Notamacropus eugenii: one gene and its partner. The protein of the gene in region 1 purifies or fractionates together with the protein of each later gene. This does not show direct contact. Links are inferred from orthologs where the notes say so. Each region holds a gene or a part of one and is shown on either strand. Other genes may lie near its edges. The genes, in order: NPHP1 and NPHP4.

The links.
Region 2: the proteins of NPHP1 (region 1) and NPHP4 purify together in Homo sapiens (co-immunoprecipitation; 6 studies listed by BioGRID and IntAct, with this or other methods). This does not show direct contact. The link is inferred for Notamacropus eugenii from reciprocal best matches to the Homo sapiens genes NPHP1 and NPHP4.

What each region holds. Positions count from the first base shown.
Region 1 is NC_092872.1:605,542,399-605,549,974, reverse strand, and holds the start of NPHP1 (nephrocystin-1), read right to left. Parts: upstream 3,211-7,576; 5' UTR 3,053-3,210; coding exon 2,984-3,052; intron 1-2,983. UniProt on the Homo sapiens protein: Together with BCAR1 it may play a role in the control of epithelial cell polarity. Involved in the organization of apical junctions in kidney cells together with NPHP4 and RPGRIP1L/NPHP8. Does not seem to be strictly required for ciliogenesis.
Region 2 is NC_092876.1:44,038,558-44,045,782, forward strand, and holds the start of NPHP4 (nephrocystin-4), read right to left. Parts: upstream 3,174-7,225; 5' UTR 3,048-3,173; intron 1-3,047. UniProt on the Homo sapiens protein: Involved in the organization of apical junctions; the function is proposed to implicate a NPHP1-4-8 module. Does not seem to be strictly required for ciliogenesis. Required for building functional cilia.

The DNA of each region.
Region 1 (7,576 bases):
CTCCAGACTCCTCATATGTCTCTTTAGTTTAGAATGAGGTACTTTTTTTGTATGACTAATGCCTAGTACACAGTATTCTTTACCCCCTCAAATTACTTTGCATTTTTTTTTGTCCATAGAAAGGCTGTATCTCCCAGTAGAATGCCTGCTCCTTTATTTTGCCTTTTATCCCCAGTGCCTAGCATGTTACCCTGTACATATTAGGTGCCTAAAAAAATTCTTATTGGATTGACTGGACCCTGATGATTCACCTAATTCTAAAAAGTCGTCTTACTTCTGCTCCTGAAGTGCTTAATTTTAACTATAGCACTGTAGCTCTCATTCACTGTGAAATACTGTGCCTCCAAGAGTTTTTCCTGCTTTTAGAAGAGATAGAACAGAACTGGATATAATACAGATACCTTAATAAAGTTCTCACCTGTGATGGATTACAAAAGGATGAGTCAGTAGCAATATAATTTAATAACTGACCAGATGAAAAACCACACAAGCCTTCCACGGTAATGGGAGTTTAGCTGAAGAAAGATTTCAGAGTGTTGATGGGTGGTACAGTTGACCTCTTCTGTTCAGGGCAGTGTAGTGGCAAGAGCAGAGGAGAGGGAGTCTGGAGACCTGATTTTCATTCCTGGTTCTATTACAAACTAGATAAAAGGAATTGGCCCAGTCTTTTTCACTCTCTAAACCTTCTCAGAAAGGCATAAAATGAGCCACAGAGGATCATAAATTCAGAGCTGGAGATGTTAGAGGTCACTTAGTGGACCTCTTTCATTTTACAGATAATGAAACTGAGGCCAAGAGAGGTAAAGTGATTTGTGCAAGGTCACACAGGAAGTAATTGCCAAAGCCAGTATTCAAACCCAGACCCTGGCTCCAAATCCAGCACTCATCCTACTGCACCAAGGTTCTCTGGTACCCTGCAGTTCTAAAGTTGCATGGTTCTTTGATTGCAACCCTGTCTGCCTCAGGGATGCGTGGAAATCTCAGAGACACTGGTCTCCATCCTCTCTATTGCTATTGCCACCTTCGTTACCATCTTCATTAGAATGTCCTGTCTTCAGTGGAATATCTTTATTACCAACTTGGTAGATTACTGCAACAGTTCCTCACAAAAGATACTGAATCTCAAGGAAGATGTTGTTTCCCTGGAGAGTAAAAGGGAAGTTAGAAAGGGGGGAGGTTGGGGGAAAGATGATGAATTCAGTTTTGGACATGAGTCTAGTAGGCAGTTGAAGATGGGAGACTGGAGATTAGGAAATGCTAATTGCATACAGATGATTTGGATCTATGAAAGCCAATTAGATCATCAAGTAAAATAGGACAGAGGGAGAAGAGAAGAGAAGGGAAGGGAAGGGAAGGGAAGAGAAAAGAGAAGAAAAGAGAAGAGAAGAGAAGAGATGATAAGAGAAGAGATTAGAGCCCAAGAGAGAGCCTTGGGGGATGATGACAATTAGTAGACTCTATCTAGATGAACATTCAGCAAAATGTCTAACAAGTAGGAGGAGACTCAGGAGAAAGCAGTGTCATAGAAACTTTTCATAGAAAAGGAAATCCCCTTCTACCAACACAGGTCTGCATCTTATCTGTGTTACATGGTATCAGAGAATTGCCTAGAAAGGTTATGACTTGCCCAGAGTTAAGTAGCTACTAAGGCAACACTTGAACTAGATCTTCTTGACTTTGAGGCTACCTTTCCACCTAGTTTAACAAATGCTTGTTGAGTGGAATCCACCTTTCCTATAACTACCAAACAGATTTTATCCACAAATTTGATATCAGTCCTCTAAAACCCCACAAAACTTCCAAGGCTCCCTATTATCTACGTTGAGTAGCATTCAAAGCCCTCCAAAGTCTGGTTCGTTCATCCTCTTTACTACTCTGCCTTCTCACTAGATATAGTGCTGCCTTTGCCTCAGACTCTATTCACACCTACCCTTTTGGTTTGTTTAATTCCTACCAATCCTTTCCATGTCCAACTTAAACACCCCCTCTTCCATGAAATCTTCCAGGAAACTGCCACCCTCCTTTTCAATCAAACAACAAGTATTTATAGATTATCAAGTATGTGCTAAGACTGTGCTAGGCAAAGACAGAAGCCCAATGAACAAAACAATCCCTATTTGCAATGAGCTTACATTCTAATGGGGAAGACATTAGAACATATATATATATACACACACACATATATATGCAGCACATAATAGTTATATATACAGAATATATGTACATTTATATACAAATATTTACAATATATATTTAAATAAAATAAAAACAACCATACACAAAGTAATAAGATACAACCTCCATCTCAGGAGGGAGTCATGCTCACTTTCCACTCCACTCTGCCCCTGCACCTCCAGATTACTTCTCTGCCTTGCCACCCTGCTCCTTCCAGCTCCCTTTTTGTATCTTCTCCCATTAGAATACAAGCTCTTTGAGGTCAGGAACTGTATTTTTGTATTGCCAGCCTTAGCACACCTAGCATGGCCCCTGGTGCGATCTTAACAGACGCGTTTCCTATCTACAGGATAGTCTGGGAGGAAGGAGGCAGGAAGGGTCTTCTGCAGAAGTCAGTGACTGCTCTGCATCTTAAAAGAATAAAGGGACGGGGTGGAGCAGAGCAAGGTGGGAGTACATTCCAAACCAGTGCAAACATAGGGAGACAGGAGAAGGAGCAGTATGTATGGGGAAGAGAGAGAAGGCCGATTTGGGGGAACGCAGACCGCAGCGGGCATTCCAGCCCGCATGGGCTCCAGCTCGCACTTGGCCCGGCATCACGATGGAGTGCGGCCAGCTCAAAGGCAAGGGGAGACCGGACTCCAGGGGCTGGAAGCCTCCTGGAGCGAGCGAGTGAGGGATGAAGGGGCGGGGGAGAGGAGGGCGGCCGGGGGGTCCCGGGGTCCCCAGGCCTGTGTATGCCCCAGGCACCGGGTCGGCGGGGCCGGGGAGGACGAGGCGGGAGCCCGGGTCCGGGGAGCCTCGCTACCTGTTGTCGGAGGTCCTGGCTGCGGCGCTGCACCGCCTGCAGGGGCCCGCGGCCCCTCCAGCTCAGCATCCCCGCCGAGGCCGCGTCCCGGGGGCTCCCGGAGGCTTGGTGCCCGTAGTCAAGGAGACCGACGTGGCGGCGGCGGCCGGCGGTGACGCATCACAACGCGCGTGCGCAGAGGCCCAGCCCCAAGAAAAGATCCGTCCGAAGCCGCCGCCCCCCGAAAGCCTCCCCCCCACCAACCCCAGAGTCTACCGGGCTCGGACACGGCGCTGCCTGTTAATGAGCACATGCCAATAACCCTCCGAACTACATGTCCCAGAATGCAATGGCAATGCAGCGTTCCACCGGGACTTTTAGAAAGTGTCCCGCCGCCCGGAGGCCTAGGAAGAGGCGGGACCAGGGAGGTACCGCGGGACCTGCGGGCGTTCGTGCCTTAACGGCTCGCAGAACGTCTTCATTAAGCGCATCCCCCTCGGGGGGGAGCAAGGAGATGTTCCGGGGAGCCCGTTCGGACTCCGAGCTAACTTTGCTTAGTAAATGGCGCGCGAGCTGCCGAGTAAGTGCTCCTTAGGGGCGGGGTAACGCTGGGCACGTCCCTAAGGCCGGGGTTCTCGAGTTAGGCCGGCATGGCTGGAAATGGCATTTGTACCGCCTTCGGCGCTGCGCACGTGCTGCCGAGGGAAGCTAGAGGAGGCTGGGAAGCCGAGCTGATCGGGTGTACTGCCCGGCGTCCGCCCGCCCCGAGGCGGTCCTCCCCGCACCAGCCGCGGCTTCTCCAGACCGTGAATCCTTTCTCAAACCTCGCAGCGTGGCCTCTCCCGCAGAACCTTGCTTCTTATTTTACTGAAAGGTCCCCCGCTCCCCTCCTCACCTCACCTCACCCCACCCAGGGGCCTTCTCCCACCGCTATCCCTTTATCCCTACTCAAATGGGGCAGCCCTTCTTGCCAAGGTAAGCCCCTTTACATGCATTAGCGATCGCATTCCATCCCATCTTTTTCAGCTGATTGCCCCCTTCTATCATCCCAACTGTCTCACCGATCTTCGGTCGTTTCCTGTTGTCTCCCACATGCCGGTGTCTCCCACATCCTCAAAAAAGCCTTCACTTGACCCATCCGTCCCTGCTAGCTGTCATCCTGTATCTCTCCTCTTCTTGGTGCCAACTTCCTTGAGAAGACTTAATAGCTGCTTCCCCTTCCTTTCTTCTCACACTTTTCTTAACTCCCTATAATCTGGCTTTTGACGTCATCATTCAACTGAAATTGCTTTTTCCAAAGTTAATAATGATTTCTTAATTATCAAATCTAATGGACTTTTTTCAGTCCTTGTCTTTTTTGACCTGAGACCTTTGACACTGCCAAAACCTCTCTTCTCCTTTATACTCTCTTCTCCCTAGGTTTCCCTGACTCCTGGTTTCTCCTCCTACCTGACTTCTCCATCTCCTTTGCTGGATCTTCATCTTAAGTCACTGGGGCTAAAGGTGGATGTCCCATAGGGCTCTGGCCTGAAGTCTCTCCTCTTCATCCTCTATACTATTTCACTTGGTGATCATATTAGCTCCTAAGGATTGAGTGATCATGTGCAGGGAAACACCGTCTTCCCAGTCACGCAGGCTCACAATCTAAGTGTTCTCCTCATCCCCTTACTCTTTCACCTCCTATATAGTCTGTTCTCAAGGCCTATATGTTTTACCCTCCTATCTTTCCTTTACTGTACTCATCCAAAAAAGCTGGTGAGGTCCAAACTGTAGTACAATGTCCATGTTGACCCATCTGTATTTTTATTTTCCATGTGTACTACTGCCCAATTTTGCTACCTGATCAATAACACCTTGCATTTCCTTTCACCAACACTGAATTCCAGCTCCCTTCTACACTAACCACTTTAACGGTGGTTGACAGTGATCTATACATATCTATATGGACATGGGTGTTTGCTGAGGGTCTGTCTAGAATTCCCTTCTCCCTTCTCATCTGGCTTGGTGACCTCATCAACTCCCATAGTTCCAACCATTATTCCTATGCAGATGATTCCCAGAACTATGTATGCAGCTCCAACCTCCTTTCTAAGTTCTAGTCTTGTCACTAACTGCCTATTGGGTATTCTGAACTAGATGTTCCAGACAGCTCAGACTCAACATGTACAACACAGAACTTATCTCCTCTACCTCCTCTTCCCAATTTCCCTATTACTACTATCAGTGCCTGAAATAAACGTTCACCCTCCTCACCTCCAACATTAAAGTTTCCCTGACTTCCTTCAAGCTTCAACTCCGGTGGCCTTTCCTAAACTCTTCATACCTCCCCCATCAGTGCCTCCTGAGATTACCTTTCTACTGTTGTTCATGTGTCTGATTCTTCATGACTCCAAGAATTACTTTCTCCATGGGGAAAACTCCATGGAAGATACTGCAGTAGTTTGCCATTTCCTTCTCCAGTGGATTTTGTGTGTGAGAGAGCTCTCCACTATGACCCAGGTAACTGCATGGAATTTTCATTGAGCTATGCAAGCCCCTGTCAACACAAGGCAGTGATCGAGGACAGGCTCTTTTAGAAAAATGGGTTGAGTGACTAGTCAAGGGTCACACAGCTTGTAGTATCTGAGACTGGATTTGAACTCGTCTTTCTGGATCAGCATTCTGTCCTCTTTGTTCTCTCTTTAAATACTAACCATATCTTAGTAATTTGTATGTTGTCTCCATTAGAACATGAGCTCAGGCAGAGTAGAAACATTTTGTGACTTAGTAGGCCATCTGGAATTGCTATGGCCAAATTATTTGGCCTTGAAGACAGGGATGAACTTCTTAACAAATCTAGGTTGTTCATTGGACGATGACAATCAAGCCCATCACCAGGCCTATATCTGAAGGCTTTCCAGTTTGGTAGGACCTTAGGGGGAGGGAAGGTAAAGAAATAGAATGATATAGAATGCTATAATTAGCAGAGCAGGGGGAATCAAAGAGGAAAAGAGATTTACTAAGGGTAGAAGCTCATAAGAACAGACATAAAGAGGCAGCCCAGGACAGAATTTAGAGTTCCAAAGAGTATATTACTATGGTGGTGTGAGTCTAGCACATCTCAGTTTCACGGGGTGAAGAAATAAGCTGATTGTCTTTACAGGACAAAGGGTGTGGAGGACAAGGAAGGAAGAGGTCTTGGATAGAGATAAAGATTCAAGCTCTTTTTCTGGTTGATGCAAAAGTATAAGATTTCAACAATAAAATACTTCACTCGAAATATAAGATGAAACAAGAAAGATGATTAAATGAAAATAAGGAAGAAAAAACTGGACATAAAAACTTCCATTTCCCTATTCTGTAGTTAAAAGCTATACTGAAGCAATCTTTGCAAATTTGCAGATGGCAAAAATAACAAGTCAGTAATAGAGGGCCTACTGGAAGATAGGAATATTAATAAATTGTTGTTAGACCACTGAACTGGTCTAACCATTATGGAAAACAATTTGAAAGTATGCAAGAAAAAGTGATTAAAATGTCTTTTTATCCACAGATACCACTGCTGGGCACCTCAGGCAAGGAGGTCAGACAGAAATACCATAAATATCAAAATATTTGTTGCTACTACAAAAAGTGGGCTAAGAACTACAAACAAGGTGGATGCCCATCAACTGGGAAATTGCTAAATGACTGTTGAATATAAATGTAATGGAATATTTTTGCATTAAAAAAAACAAAACAAACCAAAAGAAAGAACAGTTCTGAGAAACACGAAGATATAAGGTGCTGATGCACTGTGAAGTGGAACCAAGAAAACAATATACACAACCATCATGTAAACTAAAAAGAACAAAGCAAAACATTGCATGTAATTACATGTATGTAATTCCAGTGAACAAGTGTGGCCCTGAAGAAAAGATGAGGAAATGCTCTTTGCTGAGTGTTAAACATTTGTGTGTTTTTGCTGAACTTTTTGTCAAAAGAGAAACTGGGGGAGGAGAAGTATATTTGGATATGACTGTAATATAAAAATAAAAGCCATCAATTAAACTTTTATAATATATATTCAAGTAGACAAATAATTTGCATACATATCATGAAGGGAAAGATTCCTTAAAATAGCACAGATAACCTTGTTCAATAACCTTCTGATTAGCTCAGTTTTCTTCTGTGGAGGTAGAGTGGTATTACTTACTGTTAGTATAATCAAGGGCACTTTTTTCCCTTTAAAAAAACTGTAGTACCTTGGAACTGGCAAATTAAATCAAGAACAGATTACAAAACTCATAGTCAATATTGAATTACTTTAACTCACAGCTTTACAAATTTTTTCACAAACAAGATTCTTGCCAATAACAATACTGTTATAGGTACATTTTGTACTTCTTTGGAATCTTCTCAGAAATTCAAACACACATCTTACACACATCATCTCACTTATTTTCAGAAAGTCCTTGTGAGCAAAATGGCATGTTCAGGTAAAACCATCATCACCAGATGAAATAACCTGATTCTTCTGATCTTCAGTCCTACAAAACTATTCAGTGAATAAGGATATTCAACATTATTTTCTCCTTTTAAAAAAGGAGATTGAAAAGGTATCCAACTTTTTTAATTGTAAAGATAAAAATCCAT
Region 2 (7,225 bases), on another chromosome or scaffold:
TTACCCTACAGAGTCATATTTCTCCCCCCACCCCCACCTTTTTTAATCACTACACACAGAGTGCTCTACATCTCTCAATTGAGTGATTATGAAAATAGTCTTGGAGAAAATCACTTCTAAAGGACTGCCTGTTCCTTTCTCATGTTTTCCACAAGGATACTTTCCATATTGCCAGAGATAATTTTCCTTAAAGATTTCACAGAAATCAAAAAGTGAGCATTTGGTTGGTGGTTGTTGCTGTCTTCTCAGTCACCTTGAATAATAAAACCATCTATGATATTTCCATTCTTTTGGAATCCTCTGCCCTCTGAAGAAGCCTGAAAGTCAAACCTTGAATGCCTTTAAAATTACATCACCCCCAAGACTGAGTTCTTCATGTGTTTGGTCAAGTCCAGGGTTTCTTCCCACTATTATCCTAAGTGCTATTTCTACTCCCCTTTATAGCAGACCAGATCCTGAGGCAAAAGAATGAAACACCATGGCTATTACACCGTTATTCAGTGACGAGTATAGTTAGCTGTAGATAAGCTGGCAAATCTGTTTCCTTTCACACTTACTTGTTGGTCTCCTTCCAGTTTCATCTACAGATGCTCTCAGGATGATATGGCTTAACTGAGTCTCACTTCTTTATGTAACAGATGCTGGCAAATAAGTAGTAATTATCTTTATGATTATCTGTTTACTTATGCTTACCATGAGCACGGTGGGCCAAAAGCAATGTCATAAAGATATTTTAATTAGCTCAAGTATATATTTTATCTTCTGCAACTTGAAGATCAATTTGGTATTTAATATTTTTCTTTCAAGGACAAAATCATCTATCTTAACCGGTATCAAGGACTAATAAATCTAACTTGAATTTCTTCTACACCTTTATGTTCCCAGGGAAAATGACAGTAAGGCAGCTAGGTGGCCCAGTGGATAGGGTGAGGGGCCTGGTGTCAGAAAGACCTGAATTTGAACCCTGTCCCCTGGGCAAACCACTTAACCTCTGCCTCAGTTTTTTCAAATGTGAAATGTGGATCGCAGTACCTCGGCCTCATGAGGTGGTTGTGTGATTCAAGTAAGATAATACAAGTAAAGCCCTTGGCATAGTGCCTAGAGGATAGCTAGCCTTTAATACATGCTTGCCCCTTTCCTCTCTGGCACACAGTAGGCCCTTCACAAATGTTTACTCAATTGAATTAATATTAGTTGGATTCAGTTCCATCATTGAATGAGAGAATGAAAGAAATATGGGGAAATATTGTCAAAATTTTCCAAGTGGAGGAGTTTGAACACATTCTGAATAAACTAGTGAGGAAAAGGTATGTGTGTTCGTCCTTTGTTGCCAAAGAAGACCATGCCATCAGAGAAATAATGACCTGACTCACACTTGACTGTTTTGAGTGAGGGAAGGCTGTGCAGGTTACCAGCCTCACTTCTCCTCCAGAGCCATCAGAATTCAGTGATTCATCAGGATGACTGGAGATGACCCAGGATGAGGCAAATGGGGTTAAGTGACTTGCCCAAGGTCACACCGCTAGTGAGTGTCAAGTGTCTGAGGTGAGATTTGAACTCAGGTCCTCCTGACTCCTGCACTGGTGCTCTATCCACCGCACCACGTAGTTGCCCAGTAAGGAAAAGGTAGGAGATATATAAATAGAGATTGATAGAAAGACAAGCTGGTGAGGAAAAAGGGGTGTGTGTGTACACACACACACACACACACACACACACACACACACACACCCTCAGCCTATATAGATATACATACAGATGTGTCTATATATAGATATAGATATAGATATGTACATATCTATATCTATATCTATATCTATATATGGGCCATGAGAAGAAAATGACATAAGGAAATCCATGGAGGAAAAGCCAATAGTATTCTAGGGCAACAAAGCTGGCATGAGAATACAACTGAAACATGGCCAAAGGTGAACAAAAAGCAGAGTCCTCGGGGAAGGAGGTAAGTTTTCAGCGTCCCAAAGGCCTTTTTTCCCCACATTTTGATGATGAAAGTGAGGCTGCTTCAGACAATTTTCGTGGGAGGAAAGGAAGGCTGAGGGTTGTTCGCCTGCCCTAGCCCGGCTTAGTGGAGTGGGATCACAAAAGGGAAGGATTTGGGAATAGGTAAAAAATTTAAAAAAGGGGCAGGAAGGAGAGAAATTGAGTGATGGGGAAATTTTGAAAGGGAAGGATCTGAGGGGAGGTTATTCCCAAGGCAAGAGGACTTGGGTAAAGTGAAAAGGAGTAAGAGGAGGAAAGAGTGAAGGGAGGGGAAAGAAAAAAGCGAAGACAAGACGGGGCAGAGGCGAAGGGGACGTTCGGAACTCGGGGGGAGGGCTAGGAGGAAGAAGGGGGAAAGCCAGGGGGGAGAAGGGAGCAAGGACTGGGAAGGGGGGGGACTAGGGGTCTGGGGGACTAGGAGGGACTGGGGGACTGGGGTCAGGGGGCATGGACCCCGGGGGCACCGGGGTGGAAGGGGCGCACCCCTCCAGCACCCGAGGCACAAACCGGGGAGGGGAGAAGGTGGGGCTGGAAGGGGAGAAAAGCCCAGCCGACGTCCCGGACCAGCCCTTCCTCGGCTTGCCTCAAAATAAGCAATAAAGAGACTCGGGAATAGGAGGGAGAGGGATCTGGACCAAGCAGCTGAGGTCAGAGGGCGCGGGTCAGGAGTCGGGGTCGCCACCGCGGGCCCCTCTGGGCCTGATCGCCGAGGGACAAACCAACTGTCCTCGCGGGGGGACGACCCCTCTTCCCACCTAGATCTCGCCCTCCGCCTCGCTCTCCCGGCACAGCCAGGCTCTTGGACGTCACAAGATGGCCTTGGCAGACCTCTCCTATGTGGGACCCCGAGCCCTCCGACCTCCGGGAAGCCTCTCCCATCGTCTCTTTCCGCCCCATCCCCCCCTCAGGGCTCAATGGTTCCGCCCGCCACCCGGCGTGGTTACCGAGGTGACGGGCCACCGCTACCTCCGCGGAGGAAGGAAGCGCCTTTCAGAAGGGAGATCTCTCCCCACAAGGGGCCCGGCCGACCTGGGAGTGGAGCCCACCTGAGCTGCATGTCTTCCGGACCAGTACGGAGACCTAAGGAGAAGGCTGCCGGTTCTACCCGCTACCGGGCAACCGGGTCCAACGTGGGCGGAATAGGAAGGCCGGAGTTGTCCCAGGCCAAGGACCCGCCCCCACAAGCACCGTCATCAGGGGCCGCGGCCCTTATGGGCCAATCAGAGTCCAGGCCGCCGAAGCCCGACCGGGAGGGTGTCGCCTAGTCGTTGCGGCAATTGGCCGGTCCTGATTTGCATGACTGGCGGATTCACGACCAATGGGAGGGTGACGGGAGACTGTCAGAACCAATGGGAATCGGTAGAGGGCGTGGCCTCGGGAGTCCCACGAGGTGGAGATGCTGCGAGCGGAACCTGCCTGGGTGAGCGGGATTCGGAGGCTCTGAACTCAGCCTCGGGAGAGGGCGGGAAGGAAAAGCCGGAGTTAGGAATAAGAGCCGGAGCCGGAGCCGCAGCCGCAGCCCCCCAGGTGAGCGAGCGCAGGTGAACAGGGCGGGGGCGAGGGGGGACAGGGCCCGCGCGGTGCGCGCTCCGCTCCGTCCGCCGCGGGAGCGGGGCTGGCTGGGCGGGCGCTGCCGGCCCGGCCTGGATGCTGCTTCGAGGGGTCCCCATCCTTCCCCTTCCCTGCCCCCAGCGTGGCGGCGTGGTCCGGAGGAAGAGCCCCGGGTCCGAAGCCCCCGGGACTGGGTTCAGGTGCCACCTTTGCGGTGGGTCAGCTGTGTGACCTTGGGCGAGTCACCACCCTCTCTGAGCCTCAGTGAATTCATCGTAACCGGAGGAGGCTGGGCGGCCTAGAAGACTCCCTCTCCTCTGCCTCTATTTCCCCGTCTCCTATTCCCACCCGCCCTCTTTCCCTCCCCACCTCCATCCCCCCCTTCTCCCCGTCCTCAGTCCCTTTCCTCCCCTCCCTTTGCCAGTTTCCCACCTCCTGCTCATCCGCAGCCCCCCCGTCTGTTTCTTCTGCTTTGCCCCTTTTCTCTTTTCTCTCGCATGTTCCTTCCTCCCTCTCTTGGATCCTTTTCATCTTCTCACCCCTTTCTGGCCTCTCCCCCCTTCCCTTCTGAAGCTGCTTTTTTTCCATGCTCCCCTCCCCTCAGCCTGTGATCTCTTGCAGGCTCCGGACCATCACCGCCAGCCCTTCCGGCCCCGTCGTCCCCTCCCTCTGCCCTCTCACTCCCCATCCTGGGCCCGGCGTGGAGTATCAGGGTGCCTGCGTGCCCTCTCCGCCTTCCTGCTGCAGCTCCTCTGTGAGACTGGTAGCCTGGCTGCTTTACCACTTCCTCCTCCTGCAGCTGCTGCCAGAGCATCCCTCTCCAGAGGTGCCAGGCCACATAGGACTCCCCCCAGGGGCTCACCTTTCCCCGCTTCCAGCTTCTCCCAGGAGCCCCAAGGGAGAGTTACCCTTTGGCCAGGTCCCCTGGCCGTGCTCCGGGTGGACTGTCTGGGGATCAGTAACTCTTCTCTTTCTTCCCCACCCCCCACCCCCACTTCCCCCTCTGTGCCTCAGCTTTGTGATTCAGCATTTTGTGGGTTTGGCAACTGCTCCCCTGCACTGTGGGGATCTGGCCTGTGGGGGAGGAAGCAGGGATGTGTAACCCTCAAATCAGAGGGAGCTCTTGGGGAGCAAATAGCCAGTAAGCCAGAGTCCTATAGATAAACTCTGGTCCACAGCTGGACTTCTTCATCTCCTTTCCTTTCTGCTCTCTGTCTTTCTGTTGAAATCTATCCAAGGGGAGGTGCCAAAAGTAATAGTCCCTAGGGAAATGACCTATTAGCATTTATGAAAATTAATCTATCAGGGCAGCCAGAGAAGCTGGTTCAGACCACAGCTGGCCTCCCAGCTGTTTGGAGTTGTAGCCCCTCTGCAGAACTTCGCCTCACCCTATAATACTGCTGTTTCTGTAGGATTCAAAATGAAGCATGTTGCAAGAGTTTGCTCTAGTCGCCTCATTTGAATAAAACAGCAGATGTAATTGCCCTCCACTGCTCAGGCCTGCAGCCATGCAGATTTGGTGGAAGAGTTCCATTCAAAGATCAAACTTCTCACACTCATGGGTTTTTGCTACTTATGCTTTACCAGATTGGATGGGTGGATGAATGAAAATAAATAAATACATCTTCACTAGGGGAGAACACTTGGACAGGTTTCTGTGACTTTTTCATGCAATCTGGTACACTTTAATATGTGTGAAGTTTGGCCAGTAAAGTAGGCTTTTTGTTTCTGTCATTTTTTTCCTCTGAGGTCCCTCCCAGCTCTAGATCTCTGATCCCATGTAAACATGCTCTTTACTATTCCTTGTGCCCTGGTCCAAGGCTGGAATAGTTTCAGAGTCAAGCTGAAGCCATAGAACTGTAGACAGACCATTCTTATCTAATCCCCTCAGTTTACAAATGAAGATACCATAGCCCAGAAAGAAGAAATGCCTTGCCTAAAGTCAGACAGGTTGGCTCAGGCTGGATTTGAACCCAGATTGTCAGATCCCAGAGCGCTTCACTGTTGCTCAGTCCCTTGACTGGAGAATCATTCCTGGCTCTGGATTAAAGAGCAAGCTTAGCAACCATGTGTAGAAGCAGCTAAGTAACACAAGAGAAATGGATGGTATAGAAAGATTCCTCTCTCCTTCTAAGGACTTTCTACTTCTTTCTTTTTCTGGTGCAGTGGGTAGGGCACTGGACTTGGAGTCAGGAAGACCTGGGGGTCAAGTCCTGCCTTTGAAACTTATGGTGTGACTGTGAGCAAATCACTTAGACTTGGTTTCTTCATCTGTAAAATAACAGTTTTTGTCCAGAGACATGGCTTTGAAAGGCCCTCCCAGCTCTGGATGCTGAATATTTTTAAAGCAGTAAAACTTTCCTCTCTCAATATCAGTCTTACCAAGATATGTGTTTCTTTCTTCCTTCCTTTCTTTTTGAGGCAGTCAGGGTTAGATAACTTGCCCAAAATTACATAGCTAGTAAGAATCTTAGGTGGAAATTGAATTCAGGTCCTCCTGATTCCAGGGTAAATACTATATCCACTGCACCACCTAGCTGCTCTCAAGACATGCCTTTTACATGGTGCCTAATCTCCCCTTTTCAATAACCAGTAGTTATTGAGCCCATCTATGTTCAAGGCAAGAGGAGAAAATGAGGGTATAATGGAAAGAGCAGATTTAGAGTCAGAGGGCTGGGGTCTTGCTCTGTCGTTTACTATTTAGGTGATCTTTAACCTCTCTGGACCTCAGTTTACCCATCTGCAACCTGAGGGTGTTGGCCCACATAGGCTGTAAGGATTTCTTCCAATTCCAAGTCTATGATCCTGTGGTCTTATAACTCATGACGTATTGCCAAACGGTTGCAAGTGACTGGGAGCTGGGAAGACTCTTTGGAGGCAGAGTCCATCTATTTGGAACGAGATGGACTGAAAGAGCTCTTCTCAAACCCAGGGATTTCAGAAGGCAGCTCTGGCACCAGATTTTCATTTGGCACCTTCCATCCTGACCCTGGAGGCAGGGAGCAGGCAAGTCTCTCCATACAGCCCTGTTTGTTGCTTCACCTGCTGTAGCAACTGCCCAGGAGAGGGTGTGTGTCTTCAGCTTGGTTGGCTGTCTAAGCAAGGACATAGCTTGGGTAATTACCAGAGATTCCACTGCTGACAGCAGCCAAGGCTTTCTCCTCCTTTCAGCTCTCCAGGCAACCTCGACAGAAGCCTCAGCAACCTTCAAATGCCATGTCTTTTACTCATCCAATAAGCCTTTATTTAGCAGCTTCACTGTGCCAGGCCCTGGGGGAGCAGAACCAAAAATGGAAATGATACCTGCCTTCAGGAAGCTCACCCTCTAGTGAAGGAAAGCAATAAAGTGGACACAGATTAAATACAAAGTATGCACAAATGAATACCAAGTCATTTCTGGTACGCTCAAGGTACTGGATATACAGTGCTAAAAACAAGCTAGCTCCTTCTCTCAAAGTGCTTACACTCCATTGGGGGATGCAATAAGTAAATATGAAATACTTAGAAAATTAATACAAGCTAGTTTTGGATGCAGAAGGTGTGGGCAGCAACTGCACTGGGATAAGCCAACCCATCCTGGGGAAAGTCAAAGAGTAGGAATCATTTATTAAACACCTACTAGAAGCTGGGAGGAGTCCAAAGCTTAAATGAAATATGGCCTCTATCCTCACGG